2 linked regions of the Pelodiscus sinensis genome follow. The protein of the gene in region 1 purifies or fractionates together with the protein of each later gene. This does not show direct contact. Links are inferred from orthologs where the notes say so. Each region holds a gene or a part of one and is shown in the gene's direction. Other genes may lie near its edges.

Region 1 (8,603 bases):
CAAAAAGCATACGTGATAAGATCATGATGTTAGCACTATAGTCAGGTCTATCCTAAATCTTTGCACCTATTTAACTAAATTGGTACATTTAAAAAGAACTATTTAAATCAAATCAATGCAGCCACCCATTGTGGATGCATATATATGTGTTCATACAAGAAGAGTTCTACTATTTTTTTAAATTAAATCAGTACATAGAATCATAGAACTGGAAGGGACCTCAAGACATCATGGAGTCCAGTCTCTGCCTCATGGCAGCACCAAGCACTGTCTAGATCATTCCTGATAGATGTCTGTCCAACCTACTCCTAATTTATTCCAGTGTTTAACCACTCTGACAGAAAGTTTTTACTAATCTCTAACCTAAACTTTCCTTGCTGTGGTTTAAGTCCATTGCTTCTTGTCCCATCATCAGAGGCCAAGGAGAACATTTTTTCTCCCTTCTCCTTGTAACACTCTTTGAGATATTTGAAAACCGCTATCATATCTCCTCTCAGTCTTCTCTTTTCTAAACTAAACAAACCCAATTCTTTCAGTCTTCCCTCATAGGTTATGTTTTTTAGACCTTTAATCATTCTTGTTGCTCTTCTCTGGATCTTCTCCAATTTCTCCACATCTTTCTTGAAATGTGGTGCCCAGAACTGGACACAGTGCTTCAGTTGAGGCCTGTTCAGTGCAGAGTAGAGTGGAAGAATGACTTTTCATGTCTTGCTCGCAACACTCCTGTTAATTCATCCCAGAGTCATGTTTGCTTCTTTTTTTTTCAACAGTGTCATACTGTTGACTCGTGTTTAACTATGATCCCTAGATACCTTTCTGCAGTACTCCCCATTCAGTCATTTCCCATTTGTATGTGTGAAACTGATTGTTCCTTCTTAAGTGGAGTACTTTGCATTGGTCCTTGCTAAACTTCATCCTGTTTACTTCAAATCATTTTTCTAGTTTGTCCAGATCATTTTGAATTTTGACACTATCCTCCAAAGCACTTGCAACCCCTCCCAGGTTGGTGGTATTTGCAAACATAGTAAGTGTACTCTGTATGCCGTCATCTAAATCATTGATGAAGATATTGAACAGAACTGGTCCCAAAACAGACCTCTGTGGGATCCTACTGGTTATGCCCTTCCAACATGACCATGAAGCAATAAATCATAAAACTGATTAGTTAAAGTGATACAAAAATGTTGTGTAGGCAGGCGCTAAGAGTAATATCATGGTAATAGTATGGATGCTTTTATAGTGTTGCTGTATTTGTTTGAATTCATGTCTGGAGTAGTGATGTAACAGTGCAGTCAATTAACCAATTAGCAAAAGCTTATAGGTTAATTCTGTAGACTACCCCATTCCTCTCCACCCCACCTCCCTCTACCAGTAAATTTTTTAGCAGGCTGGCCAGCAGCCTGGCTCAAACTGGCTCCGGGACCTACCCCTGCTGTGGCTCTGCATTTAAAGTGTATTAGGAGACAGCGGGCAGGCAGCTTGACTCAGTTCTGGTTCATGCTGGGTCTGGGAGCTCAGACCTCCGCCTCTGACGGGCTGCTGCCACCTCGCGCTATTGTCTCTTTATCAGCGGCAGCAGCACAGGGTGACAAGCAGCAAGAGGATCTGTTTTTTAAACTGCCTCCCCTCGCAGACTAGCTTCCACCTTACACCCTGTGCTGCTGCAGGCTCCACCCATGGGGGCTATTGACTAGCCGACTAACCAATAAGAATTAATGAAGTTACTTGACTATTCAGTTAACCGATATTTAACATCCCTAGTCTGGAGCACTCACACACCACTAAATCTTACTCTGAGTATGTAGTTTATTCTGGGCATGAGATGGAAGTTTACTACTCTTAAACTGGAAGACAGGTGGAATACTAAGGTGAATTTATTCATATATTAACAAACCTGCAAAACAGACTGCAATCTGAGGCTTTACATGGGGTCTCAAACTAAATCAGCTTCCTAAAAATGGGGACTTATTTTTTAAAACATTACAAATAGAGACATTTTCTATTTGATAATGTATGTTATTCTATTAACAGAAATTAAACTTTAACTGCTTTCATCTATGGTGTAACAAACCATTTGGTCTTTCTAATTAGAAGTCTAACAAACAGAAAATAACAGCTTTTAAAATTAATTTGTACATTAATGGAAAATGTAGCTTGTATAGACAAACAAGCTTACTATAAAACAAAACAAAATAGTCCTTGATTCAAGAAATCTTCATCAAATAAAAAAAAAACTAGGGAGAGTTAACAATTACACAGTAGAGATAGAAAAAATTAACTTAACTCTCTCAAATATTTTCCTTTCCTTTAACTGATAAACCAAAACCCTTGCTTATTAGGGCAAATGCCTAAAGATAAAGTATCTCAACTCCTAAAGAACACTGATATTTAAATGTATTATATATTCAAGTGTCTTATGACACATAACTTCTCTTAAACTAATCATAATAGCTCATGATTTCAAATATTTTTTCTGTATTAATACAGTTTTGGTGACTTCTTTTATGAGAATATGTAAAGTATTCCAATTAAAATACTTTTTTATGTTTTATAAACTCTGTTATAATGGCATAATTAATTTATTCAGCTTTTTTTAAATTATAGCTCACTTAGAGCTTAAATTAACTAGTCTGTTGGGGGGACAATGTCTCATAGAGATAATGAAGAACTTTTATTGAAACAAAAGAATGAGAAGAAAAATCTCTATTTAACATCACTTGCGCTGCCTATGAAATGCTAGTAATTAGTAAGACAAATGGTGAACTATATTCAGGCACATCTAGTCCACATGAAAATGTGTTTGTATTATTGCTACCTCATTCTCCCAATCCCCCACTATTACCCTTTTGTTTGCCTCTCATATCTATTAAATCTTTATTTTAACCAAACTCTTTAGCATAGAAACTCTCTTTTATGACATGTTTGTACAATGCCTATCACAATGGACTTTGATCACTGATTGCATGCTCTACATGCTACAATAGTATATATTCAGTATACTGTATATAGATCCATATAAACACAAATCTTAAATGACATCCCCAGGAATAGTGCAGCAATATTTAAGTTTAACTGAGTGCTTTCATACTTTCTGCTAAAGTATGACATCTATACAGGTATGCCTGCAAATATGTTTTGGCTTTTACCAAAGCACAGGTTCTATAATAAATTACTATGCTCTCTAAAGTGCGCTAATAAATTTGTATAGAAACGGGCCAAGCACAAAAGTAGCAAAATTTGGTAAGTTTAAAATCACACAGCAATGTTGTCTTAAGCTTTCTTCAGTGTGGCCCACATCTGCATCTGACTAGGGTTTGCTTTGTCTGCATTTGCAATTAACTGTTCAGGATTGATTCAGGTACTGCTTATTAGTAGACAGGTTTCTGTGTGCAAGTGTTAATAGTTGAACCATGTACACTTTCATTCATTTCAGCTTTTTGTCAAAGTCATCAGACTGCAAATGATCTCTTAATGTAATCAGTGTAAGCTGTCCTTCAGTATGCTGGAAGCAAGAGGATTCTATTGTATTTATAAAATCACTTTGGCTATTTTTGAGTTACACAAATAGAGACAAAACTAGCTTTACTATAAGCAGGCTAAATGGACTAAGGAAGGGTGGGAGTACCAAACTTGTGTTTTCATAACAACTTGATGTGAATGCAACTGAAGGTGGAGTGCTTAATTTTTAGAAACCTTCCTGACCCAAATCTGAAGTCGAGGAGGAGTGGATTGATTTAAATTAGATCAAGATTTGTTCCTGGTTGCATAATTCACTCCAAGGGCGTAATTGATTGCAGTCTCTTGCTATGAACTGTGTACTATCCTACTTGGGAAGAAGAGTAATTAAATAAGAACAATCCTAGCTTGTGAGCAGGCATTGCTTCCCCTCAGCCTTTTTCTGTTGGTGTCATTTCAGGCTCTTGAGTACAGATGGGTGCTTTTTTTCATACCCCGACTGCAATCCTAGGGCCGGGGGAGGGGAGAACGGAGAAGGAGGTACAGTAGTAATTTGCTTGGGAGCTGCCGCTGCTTGGGCAAAGGAAAGGATGCTGCCTGGGCGGAGCGAGAGGGTATGGCAGCAGCTGCTGGCTGTGAATGGCTGCCTGGGAGCTGGGAGGAGAAGAATCTCTCGCCTGTGAGTGGATGCAGCCAGCCACAGTAGTAGCCCAGCCCGCCCGCTAGGGGCGCCCTTGTGCACCCTGCCGGGGCTCTCACCAGAACGTCAGGCTGCGGGAGCCGAACGTTCCCCCCGAGCGATCGCTGCTTCCCCCGGCCGCCCAGCGGGCTCCCTCCCCAGCGGTAGCATGAACACCATCAAGAACGTGCCGGCCCGGGTGCTGAGCCGCCGGACCGGGCACAGCCTGGAGGCGGAGCGGGAGCAATTTGACAAGACTCAGGCAAGGAGGGGATCGCGGCAAGGGCACTTGGGGAGGGGGTAGGTGTGCGGCGGCGTCGAGAGAAGCGCATCCACCTTGCCCAGCTGGGGGCATGGGTGCGGGGGCAGTGGGTGGTCAGCGTGATGCTAGCCTAGCGGGGGAGCCGCGGGGATAGGGCGGAGCACGCAGCTGGCCGGTGAGGGATGCGGGTTTAGAGCAGCATCTGTAGATCGGCGAGCGGGGGGCTGGGTGGACGCTGTTCTCTGATCTGGTTTCCCCGCGCTAATTCGTTTCCAGCTTGGGGAAGCCGCTGGGTAGGTAACCAGGCAGCAGCGACTAGCAAACACACTGGAGCACTCACTGAAGGTGGAGACGGGTCTGTGCTGTAGAGCGAGGGGCTAGAGCCTGTTCACGTCAAGGAACACGGCAGCGAGGGGTGTATTTTGTTACAGGAAGTCAGTACGTAGAGGGCTTGTATCCCCTGGCTGGTGCTTGGCTCTGTCAGAGAAAAGGGGTGTTTGTGAGGTCTCCGCGGCTGGCCAGGCCAGGCCTGGGCTCTTCAAAGCTCGAGGGACTTGCGGTCCCTGGCTCACGCATTTTCTCTCTGGTTTGGCAATCTGTGATCTTGAATTGTCGTGCCTACAAGTCAGTAGGATCAAGGGGGAAAAATAAGTAAACTCATTAGGGTGTTAAATGTCCCCTGTCGACTGCATCGATACGGTTGACACTTCCTGTAGTGCTGCTACCTGTAACAAATAAGGAAACGTTGCTGAAAGTGTGGCCTGGCTAAACTACAGAACACCTTAAACAGGTCATCCAGTGGCCCTGCAGCTGCCATCTCAGCTCTTTCCTTTTAGGGATTAAAGGGTGTAGTATGTGTTTGGGTGGGTGTCAGGAAGCAGGCTTGCAAAAGATCAGACCTGACTGGTTTTGTACAGATAAAACTTAATCAGTTTTGCTACATTTCCTTCGTTTCCTCTTCCTATAAGATTTTTTTTAAAGAAACTTGTTGCAATGACTGTAATCTTTCTAGTTGTCCTAGTATATCCAGTTTGACATAGTGATGGATGCCTGATACAGGAGCAAACCTGTTTTTCTTTCCATTAGCAAAACAGGTCCAGTATTATCTAGGAATCTGTGAGGTGAAAAGTTTTATATGTAATTGACTGTTTGATAATGTTAAGTGTGCACATTAAAATATATATACATACACACACCCTTGTTTAGATATCTGTGATAGGGATTATTTTTAACATGCTTCAGTATATGGGTTTCTCTGAAAACAAACTTTACTGTTTTTTGTTTTTTTTATCAAGTGCAAAAATTGGCTTTTCCATGTGCTGTATATACCATTTTAATTAGGTATAGAAATGTCTTCAGGTCTTGAGTTTTAGTTGTGCAGTAACATATGATATAAATAATCTTTGAAATAACCTAAAATACAGCTATTTCAAGAGATCTAATAATACAAGATTTGTGGGTGGGTTGTTATTATTTATTAACAATAATAATAATAATAATAATAATAATTGGAGTTTAATTCCTTTCTTAGCTGAAAGTATGTTAAATGTTTTAGGATGCATATGCACTTAACTATCTATATATTCCATGTGAAAATATTGGTGTGAAGCTCAAAAGAAGAATAATATAATGTGAGTTTTCTGTAATTTAATAATTTTAAAGAGATTTTTTTCTGCTTATATAGCTGTAATGTCTAATTCAGGCATTTGCTAATATAAGAGAATAAATAGGTTATCTACTAATCAAAATTCAGTATCTTGGCCAAATCACAAATATCAAATTATAAGCAAAGATAAAATAGATTCTCTGTTAAACTGAAACAAACATTTGGAACAGATATTGTAGAATAAAACTTTTCAGGATATATTTTAACACTTAAAATTTTTAGAAAATTTTGAGGTTTGTATAGAAGTGTTTATGATTCTGCAAACATTTACACATAATGATAATGTTCTCTTTTTAGGTATGTTTATATATGTTTTATATATCTTATATAAAAGCAAAACATGTATTTGCTTATAAATACTGTACAGACTCTGGGTGCTGCTACAAAGAATCTCCTTTTCTGTTCATGTTGATAAAGCAGTTTGTAATAAGTAGACTTCATTGTGTGTATTTTGAAAGGCTGACTGGAGAGGATACTGCACCTGCTAATAGCTTTATTAATGAAGTCTGATTTCATTTACTGTGTAGGGCACATTGATGATGAGGCAGCCATATTTCCATGACTATTGTATGCATGCATTAGATCACTTCCTCAAATATCAAGTGAACTTAAATTCAAACAATAGTCATGTAAAATACCAGCATTAATTGACATCATATAGTTTTTCTATCCTCCTTGCCTCTCCTGCAGCAAAATTGAATCATCACTTCTAATTTGACCCACAGAATTGTCAAGTCTTGTCTACCTAGTCATGCAGGTCCAATGTCTGTGTATTTGGTTGTTCTTAGCATGGGAGGAGGGGCAATGAATAAATTACATAATGTGCCTACAGCATGGTAAAAATAAGTTGTACGTTGTCAGTTCATTGATATACCAGATGCACAATTGCTAAAGGCACTGATTGTATCATTTTTCTTCACTTTTTGTACCCATGAGTAAAATATGCCCTCAGGGTTTGACTTTTTTTTTCAAAGCCCCTGTAGATCTCACTGGTTTCACATGGGTGCACCCCACTTCCAGAACATCAGGCCCCTACTTCTTTAATTGCCAGAGACTGATGCTACCTATGCCTTTTTTAAATAATAAGCCCTTAGGAAAAGATTTTTTTCCACAGTGTTATCTTCTGTGTAAATGCCATAAATATTGGCAAATTACTAAATAGAAAGTTTTATAACTCCAGACTGATGGGTGTGAGGGATACAGTGGAATACAGTGATGCTGCTGAAGGTTAAAGAAACAGCAGCAACAAAGAATGCTGAATATGTACTCTACCAACAAGGAGTGCGGGTCAGATAAACATGCTCCAAGCTGTTTTTTGCTGTCCTTCAAATGACTTAAGTCTTGAAATGATAACCTTATTTAAAACAGAGGTAGTAAAATCTTTGTGTTCTGGTTCCACATTATCTGCTGTAGATCATGGGCTATTCTTGTGCTTAGACTACAAAAATGCAGGCCTGTTTCACTTATAACCCTTGTATAAGATGGACTTTGGCACTGAATAGTGAAGAACATAAAGTTGCCAATAGCCAAATGGATCAAAGTGCAATAAAAGTGATTCACTCCACGTGCCAGAACAAATTCAGGGAAGAGAAAGAGAAGAATAGAAATAAACATGTTTGACTGTCTTTTAAAAGGACAAGGCATAGTGAACAGCAGCATTGTGAATGAAAGGTATAGTTGCTCATGAAAATTTTTTCTATAATAATATGGGCCACTCTATGAGGGAAAAGTGAGATCTTCTAGAATGGGTATCACTGAACAAGTCCTTCATCTCCAGTTGCTACTGCTATCCCATACTGCATACAGACTAATATCTTGTGACAATTCTAATGTTTTTAGTGCATGAACATTTTCCTTTCTGCTGCTTGTTCACCTGCTATAAGAATTCTCATCTTCTCATGACAGAAGCAACTGATCATTTTCTTCTTAGAATAATACAAGGGGCATCTCTACGGTCTACTGTCAAAAGGCTGTGGGGGACCAAGTCTTTAACTCAACCTGCTAATTTAAACATGTAGTCAGTTCACCTGTCGCATAGCTGTGGCCCCAGGTGTATTTTCTCTCTGCAAAGTAAAGGAATCTCACTGCATGTTGCCTAGCCCCTCTGGCTAACTAATATGCTCACATTACAGTAATAAGAGCCATGCATAAGTACCCAGGTTAGCTAGAACAAAGACTGAATGAAATCAAACCTAGCGTATTTTCTTGTAAACACCAGCGAACAATAGGAAAATTTGCTGACTTTACTGCTTCTTTGTTATGTTCTACCTTTCAGTTTGTCCAGCTGTGCCCCAGGCTGGACTAGGAAAGGCAGTAGCTGATTAATGCCTTCCTGATGTGCATTCTGTAACATAACTGGCATTTACTGAGGAAACTGAGGCTATCTCTTTGGGACAACTAAACTTACAGTTCAGGGTCCCCTTTGGACAAGTCAGTATAGAAATCTGGCAGGCTCTTTAGAGAGGCAATTTGGGTAAGCTAATACAGGCCCGTACTCAGGGTGTGTATGTGTGGGGAGCAAAGGATGCAAATGCACCCCC
Region 2 (8,603 bases), on another chromosome or scaffold:
AATAATTGCCTGCTGTGCAGACACAGACAAATTTATTTTGGAATAGCGCTAGTTATTTTGAAATAGTGTTGCACTGTAGATGTACCCTAAGAGTGCCCTACCCAGAGCTGATGGGTCTGCTCTGGTTGCTTGTGTATCTTGAGAAGTATGTAGAATTCCCATGGAGTGAGTTCCTTGAGGTCTGGGGATGATATCATAGAGTGTCTCTTGAAGATGTGGGGAGAAGCAGAGGAGGCAAATTCTTTTTAAGAGTTTCCTGCTACCTACCCCTATAGCCTTAGTCTTGCTTGTTTTTGCCAGCTTTCTTTCATCCTGGTGCAGATCTCATTTGTGAGAGACATTAGAGCTGGGAGCCTCACCTAAATGCTGCTTCTGCACCCATGGGCGGCGAGTTATATGGGCTCGTGGTGCCCGTGCTCCACCAATATTCAGAGCTGGGGGCCCTGCTTCAGCAATATTTGGAGCCAATATTTGGAACCGTGGGCCAGCCCTGCCCCCGCACTCTTGCAGCACATGCTCATGCCACACACTAGGTATTTTAAATGCTGGCAGCTCGGCAGGCAAGGGAGAGGGAGTCTACCCGGGGCCTGGGCGGTGAGCTTGGGGAAGCTCCCACACTCCTGCAACAGCCGGAACCCAGCAGGCAACCCCGCAGGGTGGACGCTCAGACTCTGCAGCCCCAGAATGAATGGCCAGTGGATGCCAGAGCGGCCTATACCCCTTCGACGGACAGAGGGGTGTCAGGGCCTGATCACAGACTCCAGCCCCGCAAACTGGAAGGCAGAAGGTAGGGGAGGGGGAAAAATAGGGGGAAGGAGTAGGAGGCAGGTCAGGAGAAGAAAGGGGCAGGCATCAAGGGTCTGCGTGGAAGAGAGACAAATGTGTGGGGGGGAGTGAATGAGGAAAAGGGCAGGAGGGGAGGTGTCAGGGTGATGATGGGAGAGGAGAGGGTAAGAGCACTGGGGATTAGAGGGGGGAGGGTGCAGTGCTGGGAGAAGGCTTGAAAGAAGGGGTGGGCATGAGAAAGGTGTGGCTGGAGCAAGTCATGTGTGAGGGCACAGAGGGACGAGAGGGGAATAGGGGCAGAGGGTGGTGAGGGGAGGGGCATCAGGGGAAAAGGGGGCAGGGGCAGTGAGGGAAGGGGGAGGCACCAGAGGGTGCAGGGCTAAGGGAAGGTGCAGGTGCCAGGGGATTCTGGTGGTGAAGCAGAAGGGCAGACACCTGCAGGGGAGGGACCAGCACTAGAGAGAGGCAGGGGAGGTTTGTAGAAGGAGGTGTTAGAAGAGGGGATGAGAAGGTGTAGCTCACATGATCAGAGTGGGACTACTGGAGGAGTGGACACAAGGGGAAGAGAAGGGCTGGTGGAGGGGGACAGGCTGCAGGAGGGCTGAGGGCAGTGAGAAAGGCAGGAGTCAGGACAGCAGAGGAGGGTGAGGAGTTGGGGGGGGGCGGCAGCAGGCACCAGGGGAGCTGATGGAACAAGGGGAGGAGACATGGCAGCAGAAAGAAAAGGTAAAGGTTTCAAAATATTTATAAATAACTTGGGTGCCACAATGGCACACCCAAACAAGCAACATGAACACAGGAATGGTGCACAACACAAAATTCATTCTGCTCATGGGAGGAAACTCTTAGGCTATGTCTACACTGGCAGTTTCTTGTGCAAGAACATCTTGCACAACAAATCTTGTGCAAGAAGTCTTGCGCAAGAACATGTCCACACTGCCATGTGCGAGCTGTGCTTTTTACACAAGAGCATCCATGGCAGTGTGGATGCTCTCTTGCCCAAGAAAGCTCTCCACACTGCTTTCTTGCACAAGAGAGCTTACACCTGTTAGGAAAGAGCATAGCTCCTGTGCAAGATGCCCTCTCTTACCACGCCGTACTGTAAATTTCCTTGTGCAAGAGCAGGTGGGCAGTGTGGATGCTCTCTGGGTTCTTGCACAAGAACAGCTGTACTTGCACAAGAAGCTGCAAGTGTAGACATAGCCTTAGAGGAAACACTTCCCCCAGCCTCTCTGCCCCGGAGTTAATGTCACACACATTGGGTTAATGCAACTGCAGAATAGCTGCATGGGGGGGGGGGGGGGTTTAGTGGGGCCAAACTATTCACTGTTGGTAGGTGGATGGTGGGAAAAGTCCTTCTAGAGGGGTGACATGACACCTTTTACTTCTGGTCAGGTGTCCATCTTGCCCGGAGTGTGTTACCTCCAGAGGCGTGGCTGGTGGGGTGGGGCGTGGCTAATGGGGCACCACCAAAAATTGTACAAAGCTGCTGCCCATGGCTGCACCATTGTGCGTTTACAATCAACTCCCTCCTGTCGCTTCTTCTGGGAAGTTAGGAAGGGCATTTAGGGCACGCTGCAGATAGAGCCAGTGCGCTGAATTCAGACAAGCACCGCTGCCCAGAGGCTGGCAGGTGCCCAGCAGCGCAGCAAGGGCAGGCCCTGGCTCACTCACACTTGCAGACAGGGATCGCGCTGACACCCCACTTCGGCAAACGAAAGTACCCCAACACCCAGGGGCCTGTCCCCGGCCCAGCCAATCAGCAGCAGAGCTAGAGACTGAACCCAGGAGTTCTGCGTGCCGGCGCCAGCTAACCCCTTAGGAGCCAGGACGCGTAACCTGGCGCCGACCCCACCCCACCCGGGACCTTGTACAGCGGCTCCCCCTTATTACGCCGGGACTGGGGGAGCATCACGTGATGTGGGCGGGGCAGGAGGAGGAGCAGCGAGAGCTATATGATCCGCGCGGGCGGGGCCCGGCTTTGTGAAAAGAGGGAGGGGGGGGGCAGTCACGTGATTTCGGCGGCCCGGAGTGATCCGAGAGGCGCTGCGTGGCCGCCATTTTCCTGCGGCGCCCAGTGTGCGTGTGTCCCCCGACCCCGGCAGAGCGGAAGGAGCGAGGGGCGGGGGCGGGGGCTGGGGCCGAGGGCAGGAGGAGGGGGCCCTGCCCGGCTGACAGGGCCGTCCCCGGGGGCGGAGCCCCGCGCAGCTGCCCGCCGCGGGGCAGAGCGACTTGTCCGAGCGGGTCCGTTCCCCTGTCCCGTCCCAGCCCGGCGCCGCGCGGCCCCGCAGCACCATGTCCGGCCAGAGCCTCACCGACCGCATCACGGCGGCGCAGCACAGCGTGACCGGCTCCGCCGTCTCCAAGACCGTCTGCAAAGCCACCACCCACGAGGTGATGGGGCCCAAGAAGAAGCACCTGGACTGTGAGTGCGGGGTGGCGGCGGGCGGGGGGAGGTCCCCTCCGTGGGGTCGTGAGTAGGGGGCAGGCGAGCTGTTTCCCAGGGCTGCCGGGGGACAGTGAGTACAAGGCGGCCCCACCAGGGACCGTGGGGACAGGGAGCAGGAGAGCTTTCCCCTGGGGGCTGGCGGGGAAGAGAGGCGTTCCCTGGGGGCTGAGTACTGTCGGGAAGGGGGTAGGAGAGGTTCTGCCATGGGGAGAGGGAGGGGAGGCAGGAGATACCACAATCCTCAGGACTCCCGTGGGGGGAATAGGAGGGCATAGGAAAGGCTCCCCCAGGGGCCTTGGAGTTTGAGAGTAGAAGTGGGTCAGAGGAGATTCCTCCCCAGGGGTCATGGGGAGCTTGAGAGGGGCAGGAAAGATGTTCCCTGCTTGGGACCTGTGAGGACTGTGAATAATATGGGGAGGAAGGGGAATGTTTTCTCTCTAGGTGGTGTGGGAACACAAAGTATCAGGGGAGGGGGGAGAGTGATTCCTGCCCTGCCAGGGCCACCTCATCTGAAGAAGAAGGTTTTGCCCATGAAAGCTCATGATATCATCTACACATTTTGTTAATCTTTAAGGTGCTACTAGTCTATTTATTGTTTTTTAACTTTTTCATTCTCTTGAGGCACCTTTTCCCATAGATTCATAGGCCTGAGTGTACTGAGACTGGGCTTGCTTCAAGGGATTCTTCCCCTGACACCTTGAGGCTGTAAATATTTGGCAGACTTTCCTTCAGTCCTGCAGGGACTTCCTCCTCTCCCCCATTGCTCAGGACATGTGAATGATGAGTATCTGTGGCTGTCCTCCTAGGAACCATATACCCCATGTTTCTTGGGATTGTGGCAACTGATAGTATCTGGGAGGCTCCCCCATGATTCTTCTGCAAGTGCTTTGTCAGCTGGGGTGTCATGCTGTCTGTTTTCCCCCTCTGTTTAGAGTAGGGATGTTAAACATTGTTTAATTGAATAGTCAAATAACCTTATGCATTCTTATTGATCAGTCGACTATTTTGTCATCCCTGGGGGCAGAGCCGGCAGCCAGTGCACTCTGGCCTCACTCCCAAGAAGACCCTTGCCACTCTGCACTGCTGCCACTGTATCAGAGACAGCAGCGCGAGGTCTCTGATGGGAGCTGGCCCACATGGGGAGCCAGTTTAAAAACCAGCTCCTCTTATGGACTGCGGCTTGTTGCCCTGTGCTGCTGCCTATGATAAAGAGGCAGTGGCGTGGGGTGGCCTGAGCTCCCGGACCCAGCGTGAGCTAGAACTGAGCTGGGCTGCCTGCCTGCCTGGCTCCTAATATGCTTTAAATGCAGAGCTGCAGCAAGGGGTAGGTCCCGGACCTGTCACAAGCCAGGACTGAGCCTGGTTGCTGGGCAGCCTGCTAAAAGATTTAGTGGCAAGTGTGTGGGTGGGAAAATGTGTAGTCTATAACATTAACCTATAAGCTTTTGCTTATTGGTTAATAGACTACACTTTTACATTACTAGTTAAGACCTCATGCTGATGGTTACTGAGAGGGTAAGGATGTCTATGGCTCTGTCCTCCACTCTCTTCCACCCTAGGGCTACGGGGACTTTGAGAACCTGTGGGGTTGTGTCCTCCAAGATGACAGTAAAATGGTTCTTCATAGCCCCTTTTCACACAAGCAGAATATGAGTTGTGGCCTATAAATGTGTTAGTAGCTGAGAGATCAGCTCCTATCTACTGGAAATCTCAAAGGGGTAGTTGTGTTAGTCTGTAACTAAAGAAACTTAAACAATGAAAGGTCCTGCAGCACCTTAGAGGCTAACAGAAATATAGATAATATTAATATAGAAATATAGCTTTTGTGAGCCCAACCCACTTACTCATATTTGTCATCTGAAGAAATGGGTTGTGCCCACGAAAACTCATATTATTTTTTGTTAGTCTCTAAGGTGCTGCAGGACCATGCATTGTTTTTTATCTACTGGAAGGACGTTCTGTCCCCAACTTTCCTCTCAGGATATTTGGAGCCAAGAAAAAGCAAATAGTCTGAATGTACAAGGGAGTTTCCTTACCTACACAGCTTGTTGGAAGGGCCCATTTCCTCTATCACTCTTGCAGTACATTCCCTAAATCCCACCCAATAAAGGGGTCATATGTATTGAGTGCCTGAGAAGTGGATTCTTCTCTCCCAAAAGTTCCTCCTCCTTCTCTCCCTGCCTCTACTTTCCCATGAGGCCATGGTGACTAAGAAAACTCATCTATATTGTGAATACCTAGGGGAGTGGAGTAGAGCGCAGTGGACTGGGGCACTGTTACTTCCCGCTGGCACAGTGAATTAGAGCGAAGTGGCACAAGCTGCTACATGTAGTGTTCTGCTTTCCGGGTTCCCACCGCTGCAGTGAGTGCAAAGGAGTGGGGGATGCTAGCTCCTCAGATCATACCCCAGGCCACCCTAGTAATGTAAAAGTGTAGTCTATTAACCAATATGGGGGATTGTCCTGTCCGTAGAACAGTTGGGACAGCATGGGGCTTCGAGTGGCTGCCCTGAATCATCCTATGGATGAGACAGCTCTGGCCAACAGCATCCATTCCTGAAATCACCCCCTGGTTATTCAGTGGAAGTACAGCATGCATACTAGGGACATCTCTCACTTCTTGCTCCCGCCCTTGCTGCCTCTGTATCAGAGGCAGCAATATCTATATCAGAGCAAGGGGCGGGGGAAGCAGGAGCCAGTGCTGGGGGGAGCTGGCTTAAAAGCCTTCCCCACACTACCATCTTTGGGGGGGGGGAGGGGAGGGCAAGCCTTTTAAATGTATTAAGAGCTGCCTGGCTCTTACTACATTCAAAATGCAGGACAATGTAGCACTTTAAAGACTAACAAGATGGTTTATTAGATGATGAGCTTTCGTGGGCCAGACCCACTTCCTCAGATCAAATAGTGGAAGAAAGTAGTCACAACCATATATACCAAAGGATACAATTTAAAAAAATGAACAAATATGAAAAGGACAAATCACATTGCAGAACAGAAGGGGGATGCGGGGGGGTGGGAAGGGGGAGGAAGGAAGGTAAGTGTCTGTGAATTGCTGATATTAAAGGTAGGGAGAGTGGGATGTTTGTGAGTTAATGGTATTACAGGTGATAATTGGGGAAACTGTCTTGGTAATGGGTGAGAAAGTTCAAAGACTTGTTAAGTCCTCGTTGGTAAGTGTCGAATTTTAACATGAATGACAGTTCAGAGGATCACTATTCTACATTCAAAAGGAAGAGGTGCAGCGAGGTGTCCCTCTCCCATTGTCTAATTGAGTAGTCGATGGAAATTCCATTGACTACTCGACTAGCTGATTACAGGTGGCCCCCAACTTGCAATGCGATTGGTTCCTGGGGAAGCGTCGCAAGTCAGGGGCATCATAACTTGAACTGCATTTACGATAGGTGCTGTGTACCATCATAAATGTGGGCCGAGGACATAAGTTGGGGGGTTTGGGCCCCTTCTGCACTTACAAAATGGTCGTAAGTGCAGGGGATCACAACTTAGGCTGTCGTAAGGCGCGGGTTTTCTGTATTCTCAATTTAGCATCCTTAGTGCAAACTTTGAATAGCTCAGCCCTCTCCCTTCACCTCAATTCATAAAAGCGTAGGCCCACAAGAGATACACCAAGAATGATAGGTATGTCCCTAATAAGTCCTCTCCTTCCTACCATATACTTGTGATACTGTATAGCCATTTGTGGAGGGAGCATTCTTCTTCCAAAGCTGTAATATTAACTGAATTTGATAGACTAAGCAGTTCATTGTAACTTCATACTAGGCATCTCAGTTCAGATCCTCGATAGTGCAATAACACACATAATAAAATCTTGTGCGCTCCATACAAACAAAGACAATATAAATGTGGGATATATTACATTTTAAGTATAGTGGGGGAGAGAAGAAATATTTTCTCCATTATAAAGATGAAGATCTGAGGTACAGAGATGAAGTGGCTTGCTCAGGGTCCTATGGGAAGTCCGTGGAAGAGCTGGAAATAGTATCTATTTCATGAGTTCTAGTCCACTGCCATAAATATAACACCAACCTTTCTGAAATAGAGCAGCAAAGAAATTGGTCAGTTTTAATGCGTCAGTAACTGGTTTGTTGTTTTGTTCTGACAGATTATTTTTGGTGATGGTAAAGTACTTTACCAGCTTCATTTTTCAGTGTAGTTCATTCAAAGATTTCTGAAGATGAATTGTTATTATAGTTGATTATTATGCAAGTCTAGGTAATTTGCATTGTTGACTTTTTTGAGCTACTCTTCGATCTTTTCTGGATTCTTATATGATGCTAGCTTTGTATCACTCTTTCTAGATTTTTTTGTGGACTTTTTCAGGGTCATCAAGTCTTGCCTTCATCACAGTACAAGAACTGGCTTTCTTGCTCAAATCACCAATGGGTTATTTGGTTCTGCAGCTGTTGTCTTTATCTTGTATCAGTTCTCAGCTTCTTTTGATTTTGTGCATCTTACTTCATCTGTAGAACACAGCTGTGTTTATGCCAGGTGCCTTCAGACTTCTGATGTCTCCTTCACTGACCTTTGTCTTTGAGCTACAACATGGTCTAACTTTTAGTAGGGTCATCATCAACTTTAATATATTGTGCTGTTCAAGCAAAGCTGCTAAGGAAAGGTTTCCCACATTCCTTTGCAGCTTAGACTACATGCCTAAGTCCATCGGTAGCTCCTGATTGAGAACTGTTTCTTGTATGTTAATTTATATGATAAGTAAAAGTTTAGATTTAATGAGCTTGTTTTGAATCAATTTTATATTTGGAGCACTAGGTAACTGTACTTTCTATGACACATTACAAAAGGTATGCTCTTTCCCATCTGAAATGTTGCATTTTATAAAAACTCCATGTTGGAGCTCATCAGTGACAGATACTACCAAATTATATTAGTAAAATGTTGGAGAGTTCATAGGTGCATTCCGTTACTAAAAAACTTGAGAATTTAGTCTACCCACAAATGGTATGCTTTTTCTAAAGCACACACGGAGATAGTATTTGAATGCTTAGTATTTCTTTAAAAGTTTGATCTTTTATCAGCAGTTGGTCAATTTATGCATAAATCATAACAAAAGTTAGACTAACCTGTCCCAATGTAGTCCTCTTAAATTTGTTTAAATTGTGCAGGTACTCTGTATATGTGTACTAGCTCTAGTACAGTGTGCTTGTTAGGAATCTTGGAAGTCCCCTAGTAGTTAAATAACAGATGTTATATTGTTTACCATTTCCAAATGGTTCCAGTTTAAGAATCACATCCCCCTTTACCTTGCTACAATCCATTAAGCTGCCAACTATTTAAAAAAGGCAAAATACTTTGCCTGTGTTACAGTACTTACTTTGTGAATCTCCTCTTTTGTG

The links.
Region 2: the proteins of HIP1R (region 1) and PICALM fractionate together in Homo sapiens (co-fractionation; 3 studies listed by BioGRID and IntAct, with this or other methods). This does not show direct contact. The link is inferred for Pelodiscus sinensis from reciprocal best matches to the Homo sapiens genes HIP1R and PICALM.

What each region holds. Positions count from the first base shown.
Region 1 is NC_134725.1:32,137,511-32,146,113, reverse strand, and holds the start of HIP1R (huntingtin-interacting protein 1-related protein), read left to right. Parts: upstream 1-4,154; 5' UTR 4,155-4,304; coding exon 4,305-4,397; intron 4,398-8,603. UniProt on the Homo sapiens protein: Component of clathrin-coated pits and vesicles, that may link the endocytic machinery to the actin cytoskeleton. Binds 3-phosphoinositides (via ENTH domain).
Region 2 is NC_134711.1:310,718,635-310,727,237, forward strand, and holds the start of PICALM (phosphatidylinositol-binding clathrin assembly protein), read left to right. Parts: upstream 1-2,768; 5' UTR 2,769-3,081; coding exon 3,082-3,211; intron 3,212-8,603. UniProt on the Homo sapiens protein: Cytoplasmic adapter protein that plays a critical role in clathrin-mediated endocytosis which is important in processes such as internalization of cell receptors, synaptic transmission or removal of apoptotic cells.